Linked DNA regions of Oreochromis niloticus. The protein of the gene in region 2 binds, or shares a complex with, the protein of the main gene of each other region. Links are inferred from orthologs where the notes say so. Each region holds a gene or a part of one and is shown on either strand. Other genes may lie near its edges. The genes, in order: mapkap1, rptor, rapamycin-insensitive companion of mTOR and zfyve28.

Region 1 (7,727 bases), on a different chromosome or scaffold from region 2:
ATTACATTCATGCCCATGATCCACTGGAGCCATAGTAGTAATGGTAATAATACCGACAACAACAACAATAAGAAAACTGAAAATGTAAAACTGAATTCCACATTTGCTGAAGTAGTGGTTTTCCCTTACTTTTTGTCATCATGGCGGAAATGTTTGCAGAACTTTGGTTTTATATAGAGTAGGCACTTGATTTTGGAGCACACAGAAGCTGCGTGACACATAGTCAATGATTATTCATTTTGCTGTGTCATTTGTCATCTCCATAACCATATTTAATGCAATATGTCACATCATATAAATTACTTAAATGCACAATGAACCACAGTGTAATCCCAAGCTTTTCACATGCGGTGCACACAATTTAACTCAGTGAAACCACTGGCCCTGATTAGCCACACAAAACCCCTTCAAACAGCAGCAGAACAGGCTTTCTGGCTGTCTCCCACCATAATGACAGGAGGGAGGTCTGACAGAAAGCTGGCCCAACTAACAAGCTAAAGCCTGAAGATGAGTTTACCTGTGTTGGAGCGCCGACGAATGCCAAAGTCCCAGCTGGAGGTGATGTCCATAGACTGAGAGAGGTCACAGGGATGACTGTCTGTCACACTACTGCCCCCCTCATTCAGGAGGCCTGACCCAGTTGACCCAAAGCTGCTACCAGGGACCAGAGAAAGCTGGCACTTCTCAAGATCAACATCCTGATCTATTAGCACCATCTCACACATTCCAGTATCATCACTGGTCACATGAGATTGTCTGATGTGAGCCAGGATAATGGCCGGATTGTCCAAGAATGCCATTTCCTCTGTTTGGCTAAGTGTGTCTTTTCGCTTTGGAAATTTTCTCACCCTCTTGCCTGTATGCCAAAGGGTTCCTTTTCTTTTCTTATCAGTCTCTGTTTGAGAGTGTTACAGCTGTGACTGATGACAAGAGAAGTGTCACCTTTTCCATCTTTTGATTACTATTTTTTCAGGTCCAAGGTAGGCAAAGTAGTCCCTAAGGAGAGCAAAGAAATTGTTATTACATGTTGCAGTCTAGAAGTAGGATTTCAGCTCAATCTTTTAAAACTGATATATTTAAAAACTATAAGCTCAATTCACAGCCCACTTTAACTTCCAACTTTCACAGTTTAAATAAATAAATACAATAAACTAAAACAAGAAGCAAATCTCTGCCAAGGCAGCTCACTCTCAGGGCAGTATTTACTTTTAAAGGACTAGTATTGTATTTTGTATACATTCTTTGGTTTTTGTTCTTTATACAGTCCAGATCAAAAGTTTAAGACCACTTGAAAAATGCCAAAAAAATGTTTTTTCCATATTTTGCATGGTTTGATCTTAACAAGGTTCCAGTAGAGCTTCAACATGCAACAAGAAGGAATGGGAGTGAGACAAAACATTTCTTTTGAGCATGCATTTTATTGAAAACAACGCTTAAACTGAAACAGGCTGTTTTACACCCGATCAAAAGTTGAGGACACAGCTAGCTATTTGATGTGGGACGGTAAACTTTAATGTTTAAATGGATCTATTTTAAAGATGTAGAGCTCTAATGTGCAGGTGCTGTCTTAAAAATCATCAATGGCAGCAAAATCCCACTCAGTGATAAAACTGTTAGGTAGAATTAAAATAATTATTGTTTGCGCCAAATCACCAGATTAAGTGAAGAATTTTCTCATCATTTTTAAAAACAGTGATGCATTTTACTGGATATTTAAAGATTTTTATTGCAATTTGATAATATCTCTAAAGTATAGGTAGCACCCACAGGAACAATTTTGTATGGAAGAAGAGTCACATGATTCCTGAATCGCCTATTTTGTGATTGGTCAGATGTCTGGCCGCACATTTCGTGTGAATGCACAGGGGAGACCCTTCGTTAACACAGTGACTTGATAACCAGCTTTGTGTGATCGGTTATCCTGATCGTCAATGTTAAGATAAGTGAATCCAGACAATGGAAAGATACCCTAAATATGTTGAACACACATAGTTTATCCAACTCCTGCTTCACAGTATAGGCCTCAGCTTGGCTGAGGAGGCTTTAAAAGTCTCAACAGTTAAAACAAAGATCTGACACAAGATTGTCATTTTGCCAATGATCTCTTCAAAAGGATTTGAACTTTGATACACAGACAAACAAAAACTGAAGTTTGACTGTCCGTGATATTAACACTGAACATAAAGATGTTGATAATTTCAACATGTAAATAAGAGCTGTAAGCCAGGCCAAAACAACCCCACACTCAAACTGGGTTGAACGAGATACCCACGTTAACATGTCCAATAAAGGATCAGGACCAGACCGCCAAGGTTTTTTTAACTTTAGTAAATAAACGTCAAACTATTAATAAAATATTGTTAGGTTTTGAATAGTTCCCATTGTATGCGGCGGGGCCTAATCTTTTATTAGAAGATCCAGTTATTGCAAAGAGCTTCTAGACGACGCTAACTGCAGCTAATAAATGCTGTAGTGTATTGTCAAGTTTGTCCTTGCTGACAGCTTAAGGGTCTTCTTCTCTAAGGCGAAATGTGTTGTGGCGTGTAATGCCAAGTGATACTGTTTGATACCTGCAAAAGCACCTCATTTAATGATTCGCCGTAGCTTTTTTTAATGCTAACCATCGTAGCCGGCTGACTTCAAAGTAATACTTTTTTAAATCAGGGCCCGCCTGGTTAGAGTGGCAAAAGGGTTTATGTTTAGCATCAGGATTGCAAAAATATTTCACCAGAAGCGGTTCTATCTAGTAGCTTGCAAGCTCATTTAAGCTAACGCGACCAGCATTTGCGTTGAACCTCCCTTGTTTAAGACGACGTCTTACCTTTAGATTTATCCGCCAAGGGAAAGAAACATCCACGATTCTCCATATGTTACAAGCATAATCATAATAGAGTCAGAAACTCTGTTCATCACGACTAATGTTCCACATTAAAGTCATAATACAAACACAAACCAACTCAACCTGGTATGCTCTGCCTAACAACCAACCCACAACCAGCCCAGCGATACTTCCGGTTCCGTTACTTCATGATAAAAGGAAAAAACAAACTATGATTTCGTTTTCACAGAAAGCATCAATCATCGACATATTTTGCAACATTTTTATCCTTATTACGCTTTTATTAAAATATATCTCCTAACACACAATAACTGTTTATGAAAATATTATGACTTAATTTGATAAATTATAATTAATTAATTAATTAATTATAATTTCATTATAATTATAATTGTAATAAAAAATATACCTGACAGTCAGGGAGGGCATTTTATGTTCTTCGACCTAAAATTAGGTCCATATATATTTGGACTCTAAAACAAGTTTGTTTGTTTTTTTACCTGTTTACTGAAACATATTCCAATTCTAGTTATATAATTGACATGGACATAATATTTAATATAATAAAATTTAAACTGGAATGAAGAGTTCAGGAGATTCAGCTCCTTAAAATGTGCCACCCTTTTTTTAAAGACACCAAAAGTAATTGGGCAACTGGCTCAAAGGCTAGGGGAGCCTAAAGGTTGTGGTGAAAGAGTTCATTACGTTTTGTTCTACACTGAAATCGATAGGACAGTGTTAACTGCACAGTATTGCAGGCAGCATTTAGTGGAGATGGACAAGCCGCAAGGAAATGCTCCAACGAGCCACGATATAAACATGCCATTATTTGCATCTGTCGCTTTTCCAGTGTTAATCAGACCCTTCCCAGCTACATCAGCTCAGCAGTGTTGTTGCTGGAATAATTTAAAAAGTATCTGGCTGCATCCTCCTCTGTGTAAGGATGATTGAAGGTATGTTGAAATTATTCCAAAAAGTCATTAAAGAGATGTGAGTACATTTATCGATTTTGTCAAGCCTGCTAAAGTAAATAAAATGCTTAATTTACTAACAACATGCATAATTTTAAGAGAAAGCCGTATAAGCTGTATAATATGTGTATTTGTCATGTTCCATGAGAGTGTCTGTTGGCGTGCTCCCAGGGTCCGCCTTCTGGGGCGGAGGTTTTGGTGTTGCATCAGATAGCATCACCTTAAGGGTTTTCAGGTCCTGCGCAGATCAAATGTGTGCGGTGATGGAGCACATCTTCGAACTGAGCCTGAGGCTGGGGAGAGTTCAACAGCTCTGGAAAACTCTTGTGTTGTACCAGTGCCAAAGACTCCATGTCCCAAGAACTTCAAAGACTACAGGCCGGTAGCTCTGACATCCTACCTGATGAAGGCCCTCGATCGGTTGGTCCTAGCTCAGCTTCAGCCCCTGGTGAGCTCATCACTGAACTGACTTCAGTTTGCCTGCCAACTTGGCATTGGAGTCGATGATGCCGTCACTCACCTCCTACATCGTTCCCTCTCTCACCTGGAGACTGCTGGGAGCACTGTGAGAATCATGTTTTTTTATTTCTCCAGTACCTTTAACACCATTCTTCCCACAGTCCTTAAGGACAAGCTGGAGAACAGAAGTGGACCATCACCTCACAGCATGGATACTGGACTACCTCAAGAAAGGACAGAGCAGGCTGTACCTGCTGCAGAGGCTCAGGTCTTTTGGATTGAGGGGCCCACTCCTGAAGACCTTCTATGACTCTATGCCCCAGACAACATAGACCCTGCAATTCCTGGGAAACAAAAACCTGTTCTAAACTGCAGCAATTACCCCACTTTGTTTTCCATAACTGGGTGCACTAATTGAAGCTTCTCCTGTGTCTAAAAAATAATAATAGTTATCTGAATACCTAAACAGTTGTCAAAATACAATCCAGGTAAGTAAGTCGGACTACGGACAAAGGTTTGAGATTGTTTCAGAAATGCTAAGCCCCCAGCATCCAACATCAACATGGAGGAGAGGAAGGCACTCACATCACTTATAATGACAATAACATTATCATCCTTCTGGCAGACAAGGGTAGGTGCATGGCTGTGCACCAGAAAGACTATCATGAGAAAATGTTGTCACTGCTCAGTGACAAAAATATTTATGAGCCCCTGAAACGAGACCCAGGAAGTGGTTGCAGGAAGAGGGTGATAGATTCTCTGAAGCAGTTAGAACAAGAAAATGCTATTGACTGGGTCTCATACCACAGGCTATACCCAGGGGAATCTATACCAAGTCGTTTGGTTTCCCGAAGATGCATAAACAGGGTGTAGGGTGTACCAGTTTTCTGTATGATCAACTCAGTCACCTATAACATTCCAAAGTTTCTGGTTTGAAAACACTATGTCCAGAGGAAAAGAATCAACCTTTTCGGATTTGTTGCATGGTGGACACAAAAATGTACATTAGCAATTAAATAACAGAATAAGGCTTTCAAAACATTAAAAAAAATGTTCCCAAAATCTAATAAACTACAAAAAGAAACAAGCACAGGTTAGAAGGACCATGATTATTGGAGAAAATACTGTGATTTGGGTAAAAATACACCATTAGACAAGGTTTGGTGTACTTTAAAAAAAAAAGAAAAGAAAAGAAAAGAAAAGAAAAAATCCCTTTTCACTTCCTCCATGTAAAGATTGGCTACAATAGGTGACATCGGGGAGGCCATAGCACATCCATGTTTTTGTCTGTAAAAACCCTTGCTGTAATTAAAATATGTGGTAAGGCAAATGTCTAACAGTGTCCTTAAACACTCCTGAGAGAGAAGTATTAATTAGTAATCTTAATAATAACAAAAATAATTTAAGGATAAGGGAATTCTTTCAAAGCGACTCAGGGCACATAGTTCTTGCAGATATTTTTACATTTTTGAAGGAGACAGGAATTTTAAAAGAAATATATTGGCGGTACTGTAGATTCTGTGCTATACGCCAATCTAAAAGGTGGCGGTAATGCACCTAGAAGTTATTTTCCAACCAAAAAAACAGGAGAAGAAGAAGAAGAATTTCGCTACTTGCCAACCAATAAATATTAAGAAGAAGAAGAAGAAAACGGCGACGACTCCTCCGAATCCGAACGGGTTCTTTCCGCTTTTCGAACAATGATGTCTTCCTGAACCCGCTAGCTGGAAAACTGTTATGCAGATACGCACAGAATAGGTTGTGTTTAGCACTGGTTTGATGGATAAGGCAATTTTCTAACGATGCGAGCTTTTCCAAAGCTGTGAAACGACCTAACCAAACAGAACACTAAGGAAAATTTTCGGAAACCGCTCACATCCAACTGTTAGCCTGTTTCGGTAAGTGGTCAACCCAGCTAGATTGCTAACATTATCATTTATTGCAAATCCTATGTCTTCGCAAGAATGTGATACGTAAAGCTGCCTTTGGTGGTGTGATTGACTAAGGTATGTGATATAAGCGCTTAAACGGTCCAAGGGATAACAGACCGTTGGCTGGCCAGTAAAACCATAGCTGATGTCTGTCGTCGGTTGCAGCTGGCGTATGGAAGATGCATTATGTTACCTGACTAGCTTGTTAGCTTGGTCGCTTATTTATTATTTCACAGTTACAGTTGACAAGCGAGGGCGAGTTATGGTCGGACAATAAATAATTTAGTTAAACTGTTGGGTTAGTTATGGGTGTTGTTAGTAATTTATGTTAATCCCTACGAATCAATGCGTAACTTGTCCTGTATGGGGAGAACTTTTGATTGACATCTTTTTATCTCATTTCACCACTGGAATTTTGAGTGTCTGGACGTAGAAGAGAAATCCAGTCCTTTGCAGAGGAGCTCGCTCGAGACCCAAAAAGCAAATTTATGTCCTTAACTTAAGCTGTTTGCTTATACCCCTTTTTTTTTTTTTTTTGATGACTTATATAAAATAAGTTGCATCAAGATTTAAAAAATATGACAATTGAAGTTTTTCCTCACAAGCCAATAAAAATGTACATGGGCCTTTAAAACTCTGAGCCACTGTCCTGAGGGTTGTTTGGTTGGACACTGAACAATACTAATACTACTAATAATAATAACCTACTGGGGATGGAACAGTTTACAAAATCTGTGGTTCTGTTCATAGCACAGTTTTGGGGTCACTGTTTTTGATTCGATTTGGTATATTTGGCTCTTGTAAGTTAGTGCTCTAATAGGGTGATACCATACTTTGAGATCATTAAAATAGGCATCTGGTTAGATACTATATTTCTGAGATTTTTAAGGGACGAGTACAATAACCTCGGTTTTATCTGAATTTAAAAGCAGAAAATTAGCGGTCAGTGCCTTCTAATGATACTTGGAAGGGAAGCATGTATAATGTAAACAGAACTCATCTTAGCATTGAGTCCTTTGGAATTCCATAATTAACCTTAGTGTGTGAAGAGGACTCTCCATTTACATTACAGGTGTTATATGGAGGTGAACTATTTAAACATTTTAAAAGACCAGTTTTTTGTCTTTTGAATATTTATTACTGCTCATTAATAAGACAAAAGTATTTCTTATTCGATTATTTGATGCAATAATAGATACTTGATTACTAAAATGATCTAAGATGAGCCCCAGTACAGTCTCTACTTATCTGAAAACAAGAAATGTCCCGCAAGAATAATATTAGAAAAACTGTTATAGAACATAATGCAAGCAGTTTCAAAATTAAGTGTATTCCAAACTAATAAAATGGGAGAGGTAGGAACAAGAAAATTAAATATATTGATCATAAATAATTCACATATTCACAAAATGTATTTGTCTAATATATTATGTGAGGATAATGCAAGGATCAAAATATAAAAATGTGCTTTTTGAAAAGTAGACTATATAATGGGGTTAACTATGTGCATTTCAGATTATGGCCAAG
Region 2 (7,944 bases):
GAGGGGAAAAACCATACTATAATATTTATCGTTTTAAAATAACAGTGTTGAACATTTCTAAAGCTGTATCTAAAGCATCAAAACTCATTAAATTAAATCAACAATCTTAGATTTCCTGTTTTATTGGTTCCAGCTTAAAACTAACACAGTCCCATCAGATATATGAGCATGAAAATGCAGCTATACAAGTCTCTATGAGCTGAGATAAAAGGAAAAACAGCCTCTGTGACCTCAAAGCAGAGCTCACACAGGAAACATCCTCAGGCTCTTGAATTACTCCTGGACATGGATGAGAAGAGAAATTACCCTGTCCTTCATCCGCCAGCTCTGCGCCAGGGCCTTGGAGCCCTCAATCTTCTCTGAGTGCCTCTTCTTCATGAAGGCCAAGGGAAGTTTCCAGTCATTCATATCGGCCTCCTCTTCCTCAGCGAGGCCCACGGCCGGTGAATGAAGCAAGTCTGAGTCCATTTTCATCAGGGCCCTGCTGGGAGAGCGCTCATGTTAATGTCACTGGTTGGATTTTGAAGTGTCTTTAGCTGTAGCTACTGGGTATCCACAAAAAGATTTGTAGGCTCACTTTAGCCATTTAATTACTGCATATAGTCAATACTGACACTAGTCTAAAAAATAAATAATTAAAAAACTTAAATCTTAAATTTGGAGAAATTTCCAGTCCAGATGCAGCCAAATGTGCTAAATTTGCTAATCAAAACATACTGTGCAGCTATTTTATTAAGTAATGGAAGATAAATAATATATAAACACAGTAAAAACAGAATATATACACAACAGATGTAAGCATCCCTAAATACATTTTTGGTTACCAACTGAGATATTCATAGGAAAATTTAAACAGCAATAAAAGCGCGCTGTCAGATAACTGCAGTAGGCCTGTTCAGAGAGCTCGAGACTTGGATCCAGATTTAGATAAATTTATTCATTCAAACATCTTCAGTGTTTAAACAACATGTAAGAGAACTTTTGCTTCCTTTTTTGGTTATAAAAATAAAACATTTGATTATATTATCTTAGCACTAGTATAAAAAAAATTAACAATCATGACTTAGATCCACAGGTCTCTCGGTGCAGCTGTTGAAGTCCTACAGGATGAAGACCTGACCTCAGAGGCAGCCGTCCCTGTTTGTACGTTCTTGGACATGTTTGTCCCTCTTGGCCATGCTACCACCACAAATACAAGCCATTTCTTTTGGGCCAAAGTCCACTTTGTCAATATGGATCACCCATCATCTGATAAAGATCCGTCCTCTTAAATCCTTCCTATACAGGATTGGTGAGGGCCAGGGCTTATCCAAGCTGGCATTAGAAAGCAGGTCTAACACAGCCAATTTATAATCACAAACACACCTCACAAGCATTGTGGGAAGAAGCCAGAGTACCCAAAAGAAACCCATGTAGGCACAAGAACAACATACAATCTCCACACGCTGTGTGGACCAGGGCCGGCCGGCACATTCAAACAGTTGTTGCTGTTTGCTGACCTCTGCACTGTCCATTCTGTAACTTGGATTGAAAAATCTATCTCCAGTTGTAAACAATGGGTACACCAAAAGCCCCCCAAAGGCTCGGTCATCATCAGACTGCTACTGTCCCATACAGTAACAACAGGTCCATCCCTTCTTGTACTGTTGTTACGGGCTATACTAAGCAGGCTGTTTCTACACTCAGATAATAATCTGATTATCAACACTGGCTGCTGACTTTTCCACTTTATGCCCTTTAAGTCATGGGATGGTGGTTATGAGTCATTTTTATGCCGTGTGAATCTGATGCTGTGAATCCTGTTTGAATGAAACCCACAACAGCAACTGAAACCAAACACACTCACATCTGGCTTCCTCCACTTTATTTTAACAGGCTAGCTGCCTGACTCTGTAGTAAAGCAACAGCTGCAGAGGTGTTTCAGCTCTACAGCTGGAGCCACGGCAGAGGAGGTCGATGGGTTTTATCTTTAGTGCCTCTGCATTCGTGCTAAAACGGCCCAGCTGTGTTAAACTTGTCTGCACGGATGCTGGCGAGCAGCAGGCTCAGTCCAGTCCAGCTAGCTAAGCTAAACTAGCGCGGCTAATGTAACAGCTCTGCTGCTGTCAGGTGTCAGACTGCACCGAGGCCGGTAATATTCACTTAAAGCCTTTTTAAAGCGAGGCTCTGAAACCACACACGCGTGACAGAGATAAGAGGACCGAGCAGATGTGCAGATAAGGCACGGAGAGTGTCAGCGAAGCGTGCAGATGCAGACCTTGGTGCGGTGGGATTATCAGCCCGGGCTGTGGAAGCTCTCCTTCTCCGGACAATGACAGACACGGTCGCACACACAATCCTGGTCAGCAAATTGTAGGGCAGCGTCCAGAGCCTGTAGAGTAAGTCAAAGCCGTCAAATCCGAGCTGCACGGGCGCGTGTTTGCAGGGGAATCTGCGGCTCCTCTCCCCACGGCTCTTCGCTATGGGAAGGGGCTGCAGGCGAGGCCCATCTTCACACGGACAGTCTGCCACAGCCACACGTAACGCCGGCCGCACTTATCAATGACTGGGCTCGCGTGGACTCCTTCTACGTACCAGCGGCCCTGGTAGTCGGCTCCGAGCGACAGTCTTCGAGGAAATCTCAAATAATTCCGAGAATTTCTCCGAAGAGGCACTTCTTCAGCACTTCTGCAAGGGCGCAGCCATCTTGGGTTGAACCCAGAATGCACTGTTGGGGCGGCGAAGCTGTCGTGAAACGTCACAGCTGTTGTTCCTGGCGTCACTCACCAAAATATAAACACACGTACTCACGTCAGCCTGAAGCCTTTGAAACCTGCACGACAAAGTGGCTTTGAGCTGTCCTTGCACGAAGGTTGTAACTAATGAAAGGTTGTAACTGAAGTCTTTGTAATACTTGCAGTTTTAGCGTAAGTGTACATTTACCAGCGCAAAACCTTTTTTTTCCCTTCAAAAAGCATTTACGATTTTGTAAATACTTTATTTAAATGATAATGGCCATTTTTTGTCAATGTTTTTTTTTTTTTCTTGAATCGAAATTAGTATTTCTTACATATAATTTTTATGACTTTTTCCCGTATGTTGCTCTATCACCAGATTACTTCAGCTTGACAAGGTGGTTTGCTTTGCTGCTTCCTTTGGAGGGACAAATCCCACTGTTTAGGAAAAGGTGCTTTGGAATTAAGAAAAAGAAGTTATTATGGTTTTGGTTTTCTTTCTTCTCCTGACATTTTTCCCTTGAATTTAATTGTAGTATTCTTTATAAGTATTGAACTTTATGTTCTGCATCTTCAACTTACAGTAAAGTTCAAAGAAAGAAAAAAAACTTCAGCTTGACAAAGTGCTTTACAACTTCATTTGAGAAAACAAATCTCGTTATTTAAGAAAAGGAGCTTTGTTATTTTTAAAATGAGAACTGAGGTCTGGAAACAAGGACTTTTCCCCCCCCCAACATATTTTTCCCAACTACCTGTTTTATGTATCAAATTTCTATTAAAATGTGACTTCATAAAATCCCAAATAGGTTGTGATGTTATCAGCTTGGTTATTAGCTTACAGAAATAACTTGTACCCCATGCGTGGTTAAATACGTCTCACCACAGCTCCACCAATTATTTCCAGTAGGCTTAAATGTATTGAACTGCTGCCATGCAATTGGTTGATTAGATATTTGTGTTCATAAACAGCTTAAAGGCTGTACTTAACAAGCGCTTGTGAATCTGGTCCTTATTTTTGTACCAAATGTCCTTATTTTTCCTTATTAAAGGGAAAAGCTTTAACAAAAAAAATAAAGAATACACTTACACAGGTTTGTGGCCATATTTATTCAGCGATAGTGGGAAAAAGCACTTGCATGGATCCTTCCTTCCTTTCATCCTAAACACCAAAATATTTGCTTTAATTGTGAAACTATTTCAGGTAATTTTGCTGTCACTTGGGGGGACATTTGCTAAATGGCATTATTTTTTAATCAGTACCAGCTAACATTAATTTAGTTGTTACACCATAAGCCATACAGTATTTATACAATCAGTTGACTTGTTGTATGAGTAGGACGTCAATACTATTGAAATGGACTGACATTTATACAGCAGTTCTCTTGCTTAATAATCACCCAGTGTGCTTTAAATTACCAGTCACATGCACACAAGTCTCCTGGACAATTTCGAATAATCGACTAACCTAACAGGCATGTTTTTGGACTGTGAGGGGAAACCAGAGCACCTGGAGAAAACCCACTTAGTCACAGTTTAAGAACATGGAAACTCTGTACAAATAAAATCCTCAGGAGGGCTCAATCTCAGAGCCATCTTACTGTGAGGAAATAGCACGAGCCACTGATGCCACTCATAGTTATCCCATTATGGGAAATGGCATCTGGGTTAAACTGAACTGAATACCCCCTCAAAAGAACTTCTCAAGCATCCAAAAAGTTAGAATCATTGGATGAAATCTGATACAGTGTTCCAGTAACCATATCATCCATTTTCTTAACCACTCATCCAATTCTGAGTCACGGGAGGCCAAAGCCCATCCCCACTGTCATAAGCTAAGACGTGGGATACAACGTGGAGAGGAACAGAAAAAAGGCAATAACTCACACTCACACCTGAGGGGAATTTAGAATCACCTGTTAACCTTACATGTGTGTCTGAGAGAATCCACACACAGTGGTGCAATGGTTATCCCACTGTCATCCCACACCAAGAAGGTTCCTGCTTTTAAACTGCAGGCCAGCTGAAAAGCTGGAGCCTTTCTGTGTGAAGTGCATAGATTTCATTAACATACTGTAAATAAAACAGAAATGCAATAATAGAGTGAGGTTCAGAAAACAAAAATAGATTTCCATAGCTTATCTCATTCTCCGTTTCAAGTGTTACCAAACTGGATGGAAAGTATGAACTACTCTCTGAATGCAGTCTGACAATTTCTGAGAGGCTAAAACTTGCTTCTGTCTGACTGCTGTAAAACTGACTGACAGTGAGCTGTTGGGATGCTCATCCTTTTGGCAGGCTGATTTCTTGGTCAACTTTCTACTTGGTTGTTTACTCAGCTTGTCCCAGCAGCCTACTCTCGGAAAGGTCCAGATGGTTTCAGATGTCTTCCATTTCATAAATATTTAGGCCATATTCTCCCCAGAACACTCAAACCTTTAGAAATGATTTTATACCCTTGGCCTGATCTGTGCCTCACCATAGTTTAACCACACAGGTCTGTAGAGAGTTCTTTGGACTTCATTGCACTGATATTACCCCGATAAGCAGCGTGGATTGCCTGCAGGACTTTTATCTGCACATGTGTATGCCTCACTATATTATCCCCAATCAACTCAGTGTGCCACAAAGGGAATCTGGCGAAGTTTGAGACACATTTCATGAATAATTAAAGCAGAAAGAATAAACCAGACCAAAAATCTGGACCGAAATCAAGAAGATGTTTGTAAATGAGAGATTTATTTAACCTGAAAATGTGCACATCGCCCCTCAGTAGTTCATAAGGAGTGTTGTGTTATGTGTAAGTCATAAATGTGCCCAAACCCAGCCATTTAGACTGGCTTTAGCTGTGCTTTTTAAACCAGTATAGCAAACTGGTGGAAATTAGGAAATTAGTTTCTAAAATTAGAAACATTCTGTCTCAGAGTGATGCTGAAAAACTAGTTCATGTATGTATTATTTCTAAGCTCGACTATTGCAGTTCATAATTATTAGGTTTTCCCAAAAGCCTTTAAAGTCCAGTTGATCCAAAATGCTGCAGTGAGAGTCCTAACAGGGACGGAGCATATTTCTACCATACTGGCTTCTCTTCATCGGCCCCCTGTTAAATCCAGAATCCACTTTAAAATCCTTCTCCTCACATATAAGGTCTTGAATAATCTGGCCACATCTTTAAAGACCTCATAGTACTGTAGCACCCCATTAGAGCACTTCGCTCTCAGACTGCAGGCTTACTTTTGGTTCCTAGGATAATTAAAAGTAGAATAGGAGGCAGAGCAATTCAGTGCTTGTGTTAGCATTCTTCTACATAGTACAATCCACACACCACATACTTACTTTCATAATTGCATTAATTCAATAGTGCAGTGTTGTCTCTCATTGAATACTGCAAGCTGCCCATTTATTGCAGCATTTTATGATGACTGACACTTTCTGGGCGTTTGTGTCAAACCTCTGATCACACAGTCTTCTAAATTGAAGGCAATTTAAGCATAAATAATGCCACATGTCATGTAATGTAAATTAGCACTTGTTAAAATCTGTTACCTTTGTTCGTTCTGTTAATTTTCCTTAATTTGGTCTCATAATGATAATTGAAAAAATTAAGTCAGCTGTGAAAATTCAGACAAATAACAACTCGGCTCAGGAGAATAATTCAAAGTTCCAGTTTTTACACAAGTTGCTGAATTATTGATGTCATAGTCAAAATATGATGAAGATAAAAAGTAAATTTTTGGTTATTTGTAAGAAATTGTTGATCAGTGCTGTAAAGTCATGTTTTTCAATCATTTTCCTTAATATTTAATTAATTGTATCAATAAGCTGCCATAAGCTGCCCTGCAGTGTGACTTTGAAATATTAGTTTAACTTAGAGATTAGTTCTGTTTGTACGTTCTTGGTTATCCAGGTGATTTCGAGAACTTGGGAAAAAGGCAGCTGGAGTTTTTTAGGTTTTCATCAAAGACGCAGCTTCTGTTCTATAACAACTGGTGGAAAGTCCCAGGTAATAAACCCTTAGTGAGGGGCTATCTACTTTGGAGGTGATTCTAAGGGTCGTTACACCTCTATTCATCATGTGAGTTGTGATGCGAGCTGGTGTCGTAAGCCCACATATCTGCTCAACGATAGTCGTTCACAGCAAGCATAGATGGCCTCTTTTACTCCTCTCTCCAACAGACTTCCTTCTCGGCCCAAAATGTGAACTTTGGCATCATCAAAAGCGTGACCTTTGTCCTAGTGCAGATGTACAGCTGAGTCTTGTCCTGCTCATCTATGTTGTGCCATATTTTTGTGGAGCGGATGTTTGGTGTCTCCTGTTTGGAGATCAGAGCTCTCCTCACTGCACTGCACCGTATACGAGCTTGTTAAGCTTTTGTTTGGCTGCTTTGTCCTTGGGATGCAACAGTTTTTGTCTGAGGGTGTTGCTGGGTTTGAAGTGCACTGAAATGTCATGCTTGGAGAAAATTCTTCTGAGTTTCTCTAACAAATCTACAATGCTGTTTTGTCTGTTAGTCTTTTTCTCCCTGGTTGTTATCTGACATTTCTTTAATTGTTTGTGTTCCACTGGGTGCCGGGAGTCAAAGAGCTGGTATTAGTCTCTGTGTGTGGATTTCAGGTAAAATTCATTGTTGAGGCTTCCACGCTCTATAAATGAACACAACACATTCCAGAAATGGTAACCTTTTCCTTTGTATCCTCTGTGGTGAACTTGATGTTTTTATCCACTCAGTGGAAAACACATCAAGTGAAGGACTGGACCTCTTGGGTTCTGATTTTGACCCAGGCGAAGCTGACATATCTGAACCCAAGTCTTGTCCCCATCAAAGAGCCCAGAGCTTTACTTTCCACTTCCTTCACTTAAAGGTTGGCTGTGTTGGTGACAATCAGTAGCCCATGGCACATGCATGTTTTTACCAGGAGACACCCACATTGTATCTGAAATATGGGGTGGTAAGGCAGAGGTCCAACAGGGTGCAAACCTAAACAGGGGTGAAGCTTGTTTGAGGAGCTGTCTTTCTGTAGTTGTTTCCTGACAGGATCAACTGCCTTGATTGTGGGTATATACGTAAAAAGTGAAACAACATCAAACGACTGCATGGTTTCACCTGGAGTCAGCAGATGAGTTTTTACTGCTAACGATGGGTCAGAAAGGGGCTCTTTCTTTATGATTCTTGGGAGGTCCATATATACAGGGTGTAGCATCGTTGGGGTATTAATATGGCTTCCCCCACCT
Region 3 (7,099 bases), on a different chromosome or scaffold from region 2:
TTAAAATACTGCACATCACTGTCTTTGCACACAGACACAGACAGTCCTGTCACAACAAAGTGAAGAGCAGACAAATACCTGCACTCAGATGACAAACTTTATACCAATTTGACCCCAGCGTAGGTGCAGACGGAGAGTGTGAAACTGTGGTAAATTAGACAGTTGTGCACATGGTTTTGACTCTTTTTTTCCCACCTGAGGTGACAGTCAGCAAGGCCAGTGTGCTCAAGGCACAAGAAAGTGCTAGTTTTCTATCTCACGCTCATCTCGCAATCATTAACTCATTTTCTCCACCCCTGTTATTCCTGTTCAAAATAACAGGAAGGAGACTACTCCAGCATGTTTTGGGTTGACAGGAGAAAAACACCCTGGAGAGGTCACTAGTCCTGACCAACAGGGCTGACCTGAATGATGAGCGAAAACACTAAAACAGATTTTTTTTAATGAGCAAGAAACTTAAATTTCATACTCTTTTTTTATTATTATTGCAGTCAGTCTGCAGTCAGCTGAGACTGAAGAAGACACTTAGATGAGTGACGAAACGTTTCTCAAACTGAAAACGCTACGTCCAGATGAACAGAACAAACTTTTGGGGATATTATTGCTATTATTCATCTCTGTATCAGTAACATTTACTGCTGTTAAGTGAATCAGAGCAGTTATACTGCATGGTCAAAACAATTTAAAACTTGTATGGGCTCACATGTGTTACAATCCATGTTAGCATATTTGTGTTTTAAGCCTTGCTAAACTGAAAATCCTCCTAAATCCTCTGTTTTTTTATCATTCACATTAAAAACCAGAAGAGAAAAAATGACTAAAATAATCTTTTCTTCTTCTTTTTTTTTAACAAATCAAAGTCTCAGGTCCATACAAACAATAACTAGACACTATTAATCTCAGATTTCAAAGTCTGAGCACTGCTCCACATGCACATTAGACTGGAGTGCTCTCCTATCCCTCGAGCTCCTGTTATATTCACTGTCAGCATCACAGTGACAGGCACAACTAGGCCTGCTGGCATCAACACCCAAGAGGAAAAGATCAAGGAGAGGTCAGTGGTGACACTACAGAGGAGGAGCAGCTAATCAATCTTGTGAGAGATCTGAACCAAGTGAACCCTCTCAAAAAGCTACATGTCTCACAACATTTCAGCAAGGCAAAACTGTCTTTAAATGAGGCAAAATTATCAGAGCTTGACAGCGTTACCTTTATGAAGTTGTTCAGGTGGCCCAGTTTTCGCATGTTACTGACTCCGTGCGGTTTGGCCACATTTTGAAGGATTTCACGGAAGTTTTCTGACGGTTCTGAAGGAGAATGAAAAGGAAATACAATGTAACTAAGGGAGGCGTTAAGCCATATTGCCATAATAATATCAGTCAATGAACCGTAATAGATATCCTGCAGGAAGGAAGTTGGTTTAGCTGGAACTAATGTAGAGTGTACAATCAAAACAAAGGCTAGACATTAAAAAAGCAAGACCTGAGCGGGAAGTGTTTTTGTTTTCAGTTCCTTTCAACTATCCTACGCTAAATGTTTTGACAAACGGGAACCGCATTTTAAAACAGAATCGTCTAAGCGTGGTCGACGCCTTAACGCCCGCTTTGCGTGGGATGACTTCCACATATTGCCCTGCAAGACAAATGTAAACATCGCACAAACTAGGAAAACACCAGCTTAATGAGCTGCTCAGATCACTTTCTCCTCAACAACCAAGCGCAGCAGATGATAAGCCTGATTCCACTGCAGCTTGTCAAAAAGTAATAGCTATCGGTATTAGTCATCAGTCTCACTGCTCCAAACACTGCACTCAATCCATCGCTCAAAAGTGGAAATGAGAAAAATGCCAGACCAAAGGGTTACTTTGGTAACAAGCATTTGTAAACATCACGAGCCAATCTTACAGTAAGTTATGAATACATCACATTTTAATTGATGCCACAGTGATTACATGAAATTAGTATGCACATTTGTTATTTCATCATTTTCAACCTCTGGGAACTGACATACTTTAGTTTTCCCCAGTTTTGGTACTGTCAGGAAGAACATGTAAATAGTGTAAATCGCACTGAAGCAGCTGATAGGTTAAGTGTATTGACTCTCCTGTGGTGAAGATTTTAATGTTGTCAGTCATACATTTTTAGGTGAGCGTGTCTCTAGTTGACACGATTGTAACGAATCTAGCAGGGATCTGGGCCTCCAGGACTGAGACACTGCTGCTCCGTGTAAACAAACTGCTATGCAGTGTTGATGCTGGAGGAGTAAATCTGACAAGTTGTGCAGCTGTGTTATCAGTGCTCCTCTGGAAGATCCACCGTGTGCTGCCTCAATGCTTCTCGGCGCACAGCTTTCAGACTCAATTCCCCCAGCCAGTTAGCGATGACAAATGCATGACTGCAACTCTTATGGCTACTTGGCTAAATAACAGGCTATCGTGCCCACTCACGCCGATCAAAATAACAGAGCGTCTTCATGGCTGGTTAGCTGCAGCTAGCTAACGCTAACTCAGCTAGTTAAGTTAGCTCGTTGCCGCCTGTTGTTATGACATCGATAGCGACGTTTTTAGACCAAACAGTGAGGGAAAATGGCGAAATAACAACAGCAGTGATGGGTCAAGCGCGTACACTGTCTAGACTTTCACCACGCGGGGCTAGCGTTTGCAGATATCGCCCTCATCCATTTTGAACAATAATCGCTTTCAGGGTGATGTGATGAAGCCTCTGCTTACCTCTGCTCAGATCCAGCGGTACGTTCTCCTCCCCGCTGTCATTCCGACCTGTCAAAAACACACACCGCGGACACGCCGAGACATTACTCCAAGGTCATCGCGTGCGTGACAAAATCATATTTTGCAATATCCTGCTTTTACAGCAGCCGCTGAATCGAGGTTTTTGTGCTTACCTCGCATCCGAAGACTCCGGATAGGACGGCCGCGGAAGCTGGCCGCCATGTTTCCAGGAACATACACAACACCGGAAACTTCGCGGGTTATCGCGAGACAGCAGACAAGAGAGGGACCGCAACAGATCCACAACAGACCTAAGATCAGCTGGATCCTCCTTAATATCCCTCTAATCGTATGAGGGATAAAGCATAAATCTGACCTGGCGACTGTGTTAGGGTTAGCAAAGGGGGATCTCATTCAAGAGCTAAATTTCTATCACAAATATTATCATTTCAAGTAAAGTTAAATTTTCACTTGCCTTATCCATTCGTTTTTTATTGTTTAAGTATATTCTTCTTCTTCTTCCTTTTTCTATTATTAATATTATTACTATTATTATTATTATTATTATGCATACATTTAACATGGGTTTTGACTGAAAAATACTTTCAATAAGTCATGTCTATGAGTGGCTCCAACTCGAACTTTCACAGACATTTCACAGTTATAACTGAAGACTTCACAGTTTTCACGCATAAAGCCTGTCACTAAACATTTAAAGTAGTTTATTCTGTTTTTTAAAAAATGTAATTTTAATGACTATCTAATGTGCAAGTTGTTATTATGCAGTTATTATTATTAATTATTTTTTGGTAAATATCAAAAGTAAATAATATCAAAAGTAAAATGTCATATTACAGCACAACTTCTTGTTAGTTTGTTTTTCTGCCGTTTTACTAAAGGCAAAACAGGTATTCGTTGGAGAAAAGAATAATAATAACAATGAATGACTATAATGTTCAGCTTTTCAGGTCTTAAAATCTGCAATAACCATCTTGCACACTTGGTGTCACCCATACATAACAATGAACATTTTGTCAATCTCTGGGAATGGACCGAAATGTGGCTTCACCAATTGAAATAAATAGACACTCTCTGAGTACAGGCGTATTTTGTCTGTTTGCAAATTAATTTCAACTAACACCTGAATGCATGAAAGAAAGTGACTTTTTCTCTTACTCTCTAATAGCAATGACTCTACATACTGATTCTGATCTCGACTCAATTTAATAGCCCAGTCTGAAAAGGACAGGAGTATTGTACAACCTTCACAATCAAGCTAATCAGGAAAAAAAAGTTAACAGTATGGAAGTAGCTTATAGCAGGCCTATTATATTTACATTAACATCAATAACATTAATGTATTCATATTTTAAAATTAATATGAATAATTTTTTACTAATAAACAGCCTAAAGGACATAGAAACAGCTGACTAAGTCACTGAAAATAGAGAAAGTGTACAGTCACATGAGAAAGAGATATGATAGGCAACTTTATAAGTTACATTTGCGCGCTGAGCACATCAGCTAGTGCCCTGGAATCATCGTAGATACAAAGTTATACAGTAGGCAATGGCTCTGTGATTCTTTCTCTTCTTTTAAATCCTCATGGGTTGTAATGAGAGATTTTATATTAATCTTTCCCATACTCTATGAGCTTACTGAATGTATTAGGTAGATCATTCTGATATTCTGCTAGTGTACATGATTGGCAATTCAGGGGCTTTAAAATGTGTCAATAGTCACTCACTCAAAAAAAAAAAAAAAATCTTCAGCCATAAACTATTTAGTTGTTTTGACTCACTGGGGCAATGGCAGCTGCTGTCTCCACTGGATGATAACAGAGACTGTAAAACCTCTCTCTGCCTGTTGATTACAGTGTAAACACAATGTGCTGCATAGTTCACCGAGTTCTTAGTTTAATGCAACCAAAGTTTATGGTTACAAGGGAACACAGATCTGGAAAATAGACTGAAAGCTATTCACCACCTGACATTAAATGAACTGCAAAGAAGATTCAGATGCTTGCTATTACTGCATCTATCAGTTCGGTCATTTAAAGAAGTTCAGTTTCTTGAACTTAAAACCATGTTTTGGATTACTGACTACCTGACAGAGAGACTGTAGTGCCTGGGACTGAGCAGAGCTCTGTCTGATTAGGTGATGCGCAGCACTGGAGCTTCACAGAGGACTGCACGGTCTCCATTCCTGTTCACCTTTTGAGTTGTACAGATTTTCAGTACAACTTCAGGTCATAGCACCTATAGAAACGCTGATGATTCTGCACTGCTCTGACAGGAGAAGCACTGGAGAGTTGTCTCATCAGAGCAATCTGAATATGCTTTATTTTGAAAGTCTGATCCCTACACTAAACCCAAAAATAGATTCCTTTTGAAGTTTATTATATGGGATCTGCTAGAGCCCTGATTTTCCTTCCTGCTGTGATCTAATGCCCTCCTGATGATAGAACGCCATCTGGGACATTGAGCTGACCACCCCAGTCAGGAGAGCCAGCATAAACGATATCTTTTCTGCTGTTTTCTCTGAGACATGTTGTAACCTCAATACAAACAATTCTTTGCCAATGTCAATGTTTGAAGATGAGAACTACAAACAAACTGCATACTGCATCTGTTAAAACGGCAAGGATTCTGGCTGGGTGCTGAAGTGGCCTGGCTGCATTCCAAACCTTCCACTAGCTGAAAACATTTGGCGCAACATGAAATCAAAAATACAACAATGAACACCCTGGACTGCTGAGCCGCTCAAATCCTCTATCAAACAACAATGGGACACCATTCCTCACCCAAAAGTCCATCAATTGGTCTCCTCACTTCCCAGATGGTTATGGGCTGTGGTTAAGAGAACAAAGGATGCTACACAGCAGTTATAAGATGTTTTGCTGCCATCAAATTTAAAATAAATCTTTTCCCCCCTTAAAATGTTACAATGTCTCAATTGAAACATTTGATTATGTTCCATTATGAATAAATTGTGTCCCAACTTTTCTGGGGTTGTTAAATAGACTAAAATATTAAAAGTCTATGCAACCCCATTACATAGTAATACATACTTTATTAAAGTATAATTCCACACAGTTTTATTATATTTTTTATTGAGACAAACACACAAATATGGCTTCCTGCTTAAACATAAGGATTCTTTTAAGTTAGTGTGGCTGCAGATACGAGAGCGTCAATATCCTGAATTGCTTTGGATGTCCTTTGAAGAGCTTCAGCAACATAGTTGTCATTTAATGGCTCACGAGTGACGTCTGCAGGACTTTCCTCCTCATCTGCATGTGCTTTTCCACTTTTTAGCACGTGGCTGTTCTCCAGCAGAACTGGGCAAAGGATGTTAAAGAGCACAGAGAGACAGCCTCAATACAGACAATACAGACATTAGTTTAAAGCATCCCTTTGTATCTTGATCCCAGTGCTGAAGGATACAGCTAAATCGCTTTATCTTCTCAAGCTCTGCAGCAACGAGCTCTGATCTAAAATGAACAGTACACACAAGCTGTTAACACCTTTAATTTTATAACAAAATATCGACAGAGTGACCAGAAAAACACAACTTACAAACTGCCTGCTTCCTCTGTCACACTCATGCGTTGCTCAGCAGGCACAGCAATGGGCACCTTTTCTTCAAACGCTGTTGGTTTACAAAAATATCCATCCTGCAAACAGAAAGAGATTCAGTAACTGGCAGTGCACAAGCTTAAATGGTGGATAAAGTGTAGGTATCCACAGGTGTATCAGGAGGTACTACTACTTCGAGATCTTGCAAGCAGCTGGGTAAGGCTGGACACTTCAGTGACTGCATGGCCTGGTTGTAGCAAGCCAGGATCCTGTAAAACAGTTATGCGATGGGTGGAGACTGGAAAAAATTAAAAGTCCTTTAACTCACCAGACTGTGATGAAGAGGGGGCAGCTTACCTGCTTGCACGACTCACAATAGAGCAAACAGAGTAGGCCTGTCCAAGCACATCAGGTGGAAGGCTGTTTAAATGGTAGGTTACCTCTTTGACCTGTGGTAAAGATTGGCTAAATTTGTAAGATTATTTTTAAAATGTATTGGTTAAATTTTATAATAAGAGGTTAAAGTTTACCAGCCCTGACTGGAGTTCAGTTTTGTGATGCGTAAAATAAGAGTTAAGGTTGCGGTTAGAGCGGATGACTGATCCATCCCCTGGGGAAACCTCAACAGCTGAGACAGGTCCACTCAGTATCCTACACAGCAGACATGAAGGTAAGCACACTATTCTAGTGTAGATTTATAGACCATCTCCCACACTCTATACTGTAAAACAATGATTTTTTTATCATGAGTATGAAAATTGAAGATTTCAGAGATCCTTTCAGCTTTGGTGTT
Region 4 (7,868 bases), on a different chromosome or scaffold from region 2:
TAATCAGAGGCCTTTTATCTAAGCCTTGTGTGACATTACTGTTGCAAAAGCTCTTATTATAATTACCCAATGATGATGTGATTCAGCAGTTTTCTATTATCAAGACGGCTAACTTATACTCTACTTATGCTCCCAATTAGAAATACGTGTTGCCAAACCTTTTAAAGGTTTCGAATTCAAAACGGATTTTTCATGTACTAAACACTTTTTTTTTATTGCCAATGTGTGAATGAACTCTAGAAACTCCCTTCCTCCAAGCCAAAAAATCCCTTTACATCAAACATGAATTGATTAAGTTTTATTTATTTTCAGCGATGCCCAGGAAACCCTGTCCCCAGCCACCTCCTCAGTTCTTCTAGGGGGACACTGAAGTGCTTCTAAAACAGCCAAGAGATGTATAATCTCCAACATATCTGTGCTCTGCCCCTGGACCCCCTCTTTATGGGACCGGAGCAACTCACTTAGGAGGTGCCCAGAATGCATCTTAAGTTATAGGTTAGCTAGGAAAATAGATTGACCCTTAAATCGACAGCTCAGCTCGCTCTTTACCATAACAGGCTGGCACCGCTCCATCTGTTAATCTCCCGATCTGCTCTCATCTCGCTCATTAACAATATCCCAAGATACTAAAATTCCTCTACTTGGAGGAGCGGGGAAACTTGCAACTCAGAGTGGGCACTTCAACATTTGAGTGATTGCCACACCCACTCTATTGAGCCATAGGCCGTAGCCAAGCTCAGATCTAAAGAGCAACACTGCTAGCAATACTGACTTAAAAATTAAGCATCGCTAACCACTAAAATCAACAACAACAACAAAAAATACACAAAAATTGAATTAAACTGAAATGCTGAGCTGTTGCTCTGCTCACATTGTTGCTAGCCAATCGAATCATAATGTAGGGCAAGTCCACAACAGTCCCAGTTTCTCATACGGCCTCTTGGGAAAATTAATTGCCCACCCATGGTCTATGGGCAGCTAGTTTGGCTCAAGCTCAGTTAGCTTGCCTTGTGAGTGATCACAACTGCTTAGCTATGCAGCATATCTTGTAATCACCACTGTTTCATCCGATGATTTCTTGAGTGTGGAGTTCAAACATACAGTGACCTATCAGTTGACTTACCTCTTATCACAGGTATCACAATAACAAGGGTTTTTCTGAACGTTATCATCGAGGAACTTTCAGGAAAGCAGGAGCATGCCAAGAAATAACAGTTACCTCCACCAGTCAACAGCTTGTTTAAGAAGCTTAATAATCTTTAAAGACTTACGATGTACAGCAGCTATGACACAGGTTTATCCTTTTAAGTGCAAGCCTTAAGTCAATATACTGACACAAACACAGTGCTATGTTACGAATGAAAGGGTGGAGCAATTTTCTGGACATTGAAAAGTTACGTTTAAAGTTAACAAGAATTTTCAACCCAGAGAAATGTTCACGTTCACTCATCCTAAAAGGTGCTGCAGTTGGCATATACTGAACTGTTCATTTAACAAGGCAACCAAGCCTTTAATACTTCCTCTGCTGTGTCAGGCATGTTTCCACACTTTGAGCTTGATTTAAGGAATCACAGCACATCCATTACTAGCGCACCCAAAAAGTGACGATTTTGCTGACAAATGTGTTTCCCGAGCAGGATTTGATTGTTTTGCCTTTTTTCAGACTGTATTCACAAATGGTATACAGAGCTGAGACAATCAATATTTTAAATAAACTGCATGAGAAAAATAGCTGGTAAGTATTTTGGTGGTCTTTAAGGCTTAGATGCCACAAAACAATGTTTTCCTAAAGTCCACCCTATCAATTGTAACAAAGTGTCTTTGTCCTGCCTGATATAAATAAAATATATTTTGACTTTGAACTGATACCACAACAAAATCAGGTTAATATGTCACCTTCTACTTTACAAAAGGTTTGGATCTTGGAAAACGTCAACCAGAATAACACATTCAGGTAAACTGTGCCATGTTTTATTTGTTCTTTGTTTGGAATAAACACATATTTTAATTTTAATCATGTTTTTTGCAATTTTTTTATTTTTTAAAAAGGTGCTATTTTCTAGCATGTGTATGCACCAAATGATAAACCCGTTTATTAAAAAATATCCAGCAGAATCAATAATGAAAACAAATAGTTCTTAAGGAAATTAAAAACATCAGCTTTTGTTATAAAATATATTCTACTTTTAAAATATTTCCTCTTATGTGGTAACGACATGATAATGACACTACTATTACAAGCAAAACGATTATTTTTTCAGCTCTGATGTGGTCTTGTCATTGTTATTAATCAGTGATTTATTAAGGTATTTCAAACCTTTAAAATAACAAGACAGAATCACATGAACACTAACGTCAGCTGAAGACAGATGTAAGTAAATCAGTATTAATCAGCCCAAATTGGAAGACTGTAGCATTGTTAGTCCTGACTGCAGCTTCAAAACAAAAGCATCAACAACAACAAAGGGGATAGCTGCTGATTAATACAGTGTAACATCAGGAACACGGGCTAACGTTAGCAGATGTGCTGACAGTCTATGAAATGATCAGGCTAGCGAGCTCCAAAGCTATGCATAAAAAATGACTGACTGCAGGGGCTGACACAACTTACCTTGGGCTTATACAGCCACTTTCGAAAGCGGTTCATCGTTACCTCGCCACCTTCCTTTGTCACCAACCCCTCCTCTCTTCTCCTGTACCTGTGTGTCTGACACTATCGGCGGCTGGCTGGCGGCTAAGCTAGCTAGCGCTGCTTGGGTCCAAAAAGGAGGAAAAAAGACAATGTACGGCAAGTTGTCCTGAACGTTACACCGAGGCTCTGAAGGCGCACAAAGGAGGTATTGGGAAATAACCACTTATTTCCATTTTCCCTGAAGCCCGAGGTTAGCAACCTGTCCCTCCACCTGCCCAGTCACTTTCCAAGTCCCCGACGATACAGACAACTGGAGCACTGAAGGCTCCGCTGTTCTCTGCCCCTCTAACGTTACTCGATGACAGTCACGTTGACAACATTCACCTCCCACTTTCCCAGGAAGTGGTGCGTTCAAGTGCTCCTCCAAAAAATAGCTTTCTCTCTCCAAAAGGGTCATTAACGATGTATACTGTACAATCATTCCACCCTGGAAAAAGAAACCAGTTCAAAGAAATCATTACAAGCCACAACATTACCATTTTAAGCTTATGATGAGTGAATCTAAACTTCTAACCATGATTATAATTTCTATGGACGTTTTAAGAGTCTCTTAGTTCTTCACACACTGCAGCTGCAGCTGCCCTTCAAATTTAAAGATGGTGTACTTTCTTTATCCTCATGTAATAAAACATAAGCAACAGATAAGAAAAGTTTACTAATGACAGTTGTTTTCTGTTACCTAAGTAACAAATTTGAATTTACTACATTACAATAATTTAAGAATCTAGAGGAAGTGTGTCAAACTGACCCGCCATATATTCCAGTTGTGTTACTTATTCACATTTTCCAAGAAAATCCTCTGCTGCTCCTGGTGGAAAATTTAAAAAGTTAAAAGTCATTTGATGTCAAATGACATCAAAAAGATGTAAAACATTTTTTTTTTTTGCTTAAAAGAAAACCTATCATCATCATCTGCAATCTGTAAATTGTAACAGTACATTCAATAAATCACAAAAAACTGATTTATTTAACATTTTATTTAACATTTTTATCCTGTTAAAATGTTATGCAATAGCTTCGCTGGCCCAGCCCACTTGAGATGAAATTGGGTTTGGCCAGTAACCCAAAAAGACTTTGACCCCCCTTATCTAGAAAGTATTAATAGTGTATGCATAGATTTAAGTATGATTAGTGGAGGTTTTAAGTTTTTATAACTCGATTGTGTGAGAAAAACAATACAGTAGCCCACTGTTGTTTCATTTTAACTTTAAAATCAAATGTCAGGCAAATACAGGGAAATTTCATCAAATAAATGTATGATTTAGGATGTGTACAGATCTTTGCAGTAAAGACCATCCAAATGAGGAGCAGTAAATTAAGCACATTTTCCAGATTTGTAAAAGAGATTAGAGAGAAAATATCAGTGGGGAAAACAATTTTCACTCAAAATACACTTCCAGGTTATTCCTTAGCTTTCGCCTGTATTACATGATTGCCATCAGCAGTGTGTGTTTGTCCAGAAGCTATTTTGGAGTTATTTCAACTTTCTGTTTTCTAAAACATCACATATAGATTTATCATAAACTTAGCTTGGTATTTCCTAATTTAAATTCAACAAATGACTTTGTTTTCACTCCAGTTAAGAAATATGATTATGATGATCAGGTTAAACCAGGAAATCAGATGCTCGATTCTGAGAACAAAACCCCAGTTTGCATGTGATTTACCCAGTAATTAGCTTTTGTCCCTCATATATCAACAATGTAAAACCCCTGGTAAGCTAGGAAACAACATTTTTTGTAAAACCATTATTTTTTAAAGCACAACCCAACAACTTTCATTCGGTTTTTAGAACGGGTTTCCATCTTGACCAGATGTTTTAACGTGTCAGTTTGATCGCCGTCTGTTTATTGTAGAATTTCCAAAAGCACTTGAAGGCAGCAGAAGATCAGCACAGCCCCGGCAAGACGTCACAACACGCGACGTCATTATTATTGTTATGGACGCCAACAAAGGATGAGGATGGCACTCTGTTAATCTGTACGGATTAAAACTGTGAAGTATTTAATATGTTAAACTGAGCAATAATAAAACGCCTCTTTTGAATCTAAATGATTAATTTTTTTGCTAAAGCGTTCCTCGTTTAACATTTCGAGCTGGGACGTATTTCTGTTTACGCCTGTGTTTTGTTGCTAAGCAACGACGCAACACAGCGATGGCTGGAGACTGTCTATGAGTCGAAGACAGCAAATATTTTTTGTGAATTGATGTCTTTCATTAGCAGCCCGGTTGGCTTGTCTATCCCAGGGAGAACTGTTTGTTCTCTCATCTCTCAATGCGTGAGCTTTGCTTATATAAACAGTTTATTTGTGGGCTTTTCTAGTGGATTTAAGATGGCATCAAACTATGCATCACTTGTGAAGGAAGCCGTTCAGCTCCTCGACAGCTTTAGAGCTAGCAGACAGTGTTTGGATGACTTCACAGAAGATGCTATGAAGGATCTGCAGGTATGTCAGACTCAGATCAATGTGAGTGGATGCATAGGCCTGCTTCTGATTAGCCTGTATTTCTTGTTTTGTCACAGGACATGGACATGCTGCAGAGGAAGTTCATTCTAGATGTTGTTTCCGGATGTGTTGAACAAAAGAAGTTGCTGGATGTAGTCATCAATGCCTTCTATGGCCAGCATGTAAAATCAGTGTCCAGAGGTGAACGCAGCCAGTTTGTTGGTGAGTAACTTCATTGCTACTCCTGATTTCAGCCTGAATAAAAGAACTGACATGTTTTAATGGTCGTCTTGCTCCCCAGTTATCTGTTACCTGGCCACATTTCTTCTTGATGACCTCGGGCTTCAGTGTTTTAGCAGCATTGTTAAATCTCTGGACATCAAGAAAATGCACATGGTAAGAAACACAAATTCTGAGTACAGAAGAGGGAAATTAATCAGCAGCTTTCTTATGTTGCACTTTTTAAAATTAGTTTTTAGGTTTCTTCTTCTCAAACCTCACCACGTGGATACAGGATGAGTGGAACAACATCTATGATGCTGCCTTTGTGGAGAAACACTGGATTGGGCCTCTACTCAGGTGAGAAAAGCATGATGAACGAAAATACTTCTTAGGTAATAACACTATAATAACTCAAAGAATGAAGGGGAAACTTAAATCTACACATTGTGTAATTCACTGACAACAAAAAGACATGACAGCAGTCAGTAGAAAACAAACTTTTTAATCCTGTGAGGGCTGTATTCAGTGATTGATTTGATGCTGAAGTCACATGAAGTGCGGCACAGCATCTGTAGACTCTTTCATGCCTGTCACATAGGCTCAGTGTGAACATGCAAGAGAGTAGGGCACCAAGGGCTGCTCATGCCATTGCTCATTGAGTCTGTTTCTCACAGTCTGGTCAGAAATGTGCACAAGTATTCCAGTGGAGGTCGTTTTGTGAGCAGAGCATTTCAAATTCAGACAACCAAAATGTTTGCTTGTGTGTCCTTTAGGTGGCGCCCTGAGATAGATATTCTCATGGACCAGCTTGCAGTCAAGATCTCTCAAGGGAATCTGCTCAAGAAAGCTGCAACCAAAACCACTGAGCCCCAGGAGTTCGCCCTCACCAAACCTAAACCGCGGCCTCTACCCATGCCCGAGCTCATCCCACAGCAGAAGAAATGCAAACCAGTCAGTATCAGTTACATAAAGTCCTTTACTTTGAGAAGTTTTCATGTCCTCAATCCTTAAAGAGAGTGTAAGCTGTAAACTGTGTAGAGGCTGGTGCATCACTCTTAAGGTGTTTGTCTTGCAGGTACCAAGCAGCACCTACAAGGCTCCAAAGGAGATGCAGATAATAGAGGAGAATAAACAGAAGAACCATCAAAAGGCTCAGGTACAATGAATCTAATACAAAAGAAGATAAGTTTAACAATTAAACAGCAGCTGGCACATTTAAGTTCAATAATAGTAGCTATTATCCAAACTTTTTATATTTTTAAATTCAGTTACATATACTGCCATTAAAATGTTCGCTTATCTGTTTTCCACCAAAGGAGCTTCTGTATGAAGCAAATATCAAACAGTTCAGATGTGGAAATCCACAGAAGTCTGAGCACACAAAGGTGTGTATGTGTGTGTGTGTGTGTGTGTGTGTGTGTGTGTGTGTGTGAGGGTGGGCTTGTATTCTGTTGGCTTCAACACCATACTTGTTCCACAGAGAGTGATGTCCAAGATTGAGGAAGACTTGGATTCAAGGCTCAAGCCTAATTCCTTTCATTCCCGTGGAGCTTCTTCTAGTAATAAGGTAAGACCTAAGTACTCTGCCTGTTTCTAGATAGCCTAATGTTGGTGTAATATCTGCTGTCATGTGTGTATTTTTTACAGGCGGTCAGCTATCCAATCAAACTCAACAATGCAGCTATTCTAAGGAAGGAGGCACTGTATAAGCGTTGGGTGGAGGAGGAGGTCCAGAGGTACAGCGCAGCTTTTACCTGCTACTTTAACCTTTTCCAAGGTGTTGGACACGATAGGTGCCTGCATAGTGCTCCACGAGAGTGAAGTGCAAATCAACACATAAAAATTTGCATCCCTTGTGCATCTGTTTGTAATACAGAATTGAGCGGCTGGTGCAAGGGGAGCGCGATCCTTCATCTTTCCTGCAGTGGCAAAAGGAGATGCGTGAGAAGGACCTTCAGGAGCAGTTGCCCAAGATTGAGCGCCGACACCTGGAGGCATGCATCAGTGAACAGGAGGCAGCTCTGGCCCGCAAACGTATAATGGAGCGCAATCAGAAGGCTGCGCAGCTGAAGAAAGAAGAGGTAGGTAAAGACCACGTGGCAACTAATAAATAAAAGGAATTCACAGAGGAATAAACTTGTTGTCGTCTTCTTTATGGCTTGTTTGCTTTTTCTAGACAGCTCAGCTGATGCAAAGATATGCTGAGAAAAGGTTGCAAGAGGAAAAGGAAATAAGGGATCTGGTGCAACAAGTGGCAGATGGCCACAAGAATTCAAAGGCAGCTAAAGAGAAGTTACAGAAGCTGAAGCAAAGCATAGGTACGCCTCCTCAAGCAGCTTGTCACACGGGGCATTTCACGTGTTTCTTTTTGCTGTTCACATCAATGTCATGACAAATTTCGCAGTGAAAGAAGTCTCCGAACAGAACCAGGAGCTGCTTCGTCAAGCATTGGAGGAAGCAGAGGCAGAGATGAGCCGCAAATTTGAAGTCATCCGAGAAATTCACTG

The links.
Region 1: rptor (region 2) and mapkap1 share a complex: the UniProt entries of both Homo sapiens proteins name them as parts of the mechanistic target of rapamycin complex. The link is inferred for Oreochromis niloticus from reciprocal best matches to the Homo sapiens genes RPTOR and MAPKAP1.
Region 3: rptor (region 2) and rapamycin-insensitive companion of mTOR share a complex: the UniProt entries of both Homo sapiens proteins name them as parts of the mechanistic target of rapamycin complex. The link is inferred for Oreochromis niloticus from reciprocal best matches to the Homo sapiens genes RPTOR and RICTOR.
Region 4: the proteins of rptor (region 2) and zfyve28 are in contact, whole or in part, in a cryo-EM structure (PDB 9F43), measured with the Homo sapiens proteins. The link is inferred for Oreochromis niloticus from reciprocal best matches to the Homo sapiens genes RPTOR and ZFYVE28. Residues at the interface, in NP_065812.1 of Homo sapiens: Arg54, Arg305, Arg306, Thr317, Asp321, Phe337, Arg338, Leu341, Ala344, Arg348, Leu437, Gln438, Leu440, Leu441, Ser442, Gln443, Arg446, Pro474, Tyr475, Lys478, Leu479, Gln481, Ser482, Ser483, Ala484; in NP_066023.2 of Homo sapiens: Arg399, Val400, Phe401, Phe402, Met403, Asp404, Asp405, Val406, Glu407.

The regions. Positions count from the first base shown.
Region 1 is NC_031972.2:8,478,088-8,485,814, reverse strand, and holds the start of mapkap1 (target of rapamycin complex 2 subunit MAPKAP1), read right to left. Parts: upstream 3,013-7,727; 5' UTR 2,822-3,012; intron 997-2,821; 5' UTR 801-996; coding exon 518-800; intron 1-517. UniProt on the Homo sapiens protein: Component of the mechanistic target of rapamycin complex 2 (mTORC2), which transduces signals from growth factors to pathways involved in proliferation, cytoskeletal organization, lipogenesis and anabolic output.
Region 2 is NC_031971.2:37,768,912-37,776,855, reverse strand, and holds the start of rptor (regulatory-associated protein of mTOR), read right to left. Parts: upstream 3,014-7,944; 5' UTR 2,258-3,013; intron 485-2,257; 5' UTR 475-484; coding exon 307-474; intron 1-306. UniProt on the Homo sapiens protein: Component of the mechanistic target of rapamycin complex 1 (mTORC1), an evolutionarily conserved central nutrient sensor that stimulates anabolic reactions and macromolecule biosynthesis to promote cellular biomass generation and growth.
Region 3 is NC_031977.2:11,885,046-11,892,144, reverse strand, and holds the start of rapamycin-insensitive companion of mTOR, read right to left. Parts: upstream 3,014-7,099; 5' UTR 2,951-3,013; coding exon 2,902-2,950; intron 2,777-2,901; coding exon 2,729-2,776; intron 1,308-2,728; coding exon 1,210-1,307; intron 1-1,209. Other genes in the region: lg12h5orf34 (uncharacterized protein C5orf34 homolog), read right to left, coding at 5,890-6,068, 6,175-6,221, 6,307-6,404, 6,500-6,575, 6,664-6,755, 6,837-6,957. UniProt on the Homo sapiens protein: Component of the mechanistic target of rapamycin complex 2 (mTORC2), which transduces signals from growth factors to pathways involved in proliferation, cytoskeletal organization, lipogenesis and anabolic output.
Region 4 is NC_031983.2:11,616,033-11,623,900, reverse strand, and holds the start of zfyve28 (lateral signaling target protein 2 homolog), read right to left. Parts: upstream 3,001-7,868; 5' UTR 2,648-3,000; coding exon 2,612-2,647; intron 1-2,611. Other genes in the region: cfap99 (cilia- and flagella-associated protein 99), read left to right, coding at 4,900-5,139, 5,217-5,361, 5,441-5,535, 5,612-5,718, 6,135-6,312, 6,437-6,517, 6,678-6,746, 6,842-6,928 and 4 more. UniProt on the Homo sapiens protein: Negative regulator of epidermal growth factor receptor (EGFR) signaling. Acts by promoting EGFR degradation in endosomes when not monoubiquitinated.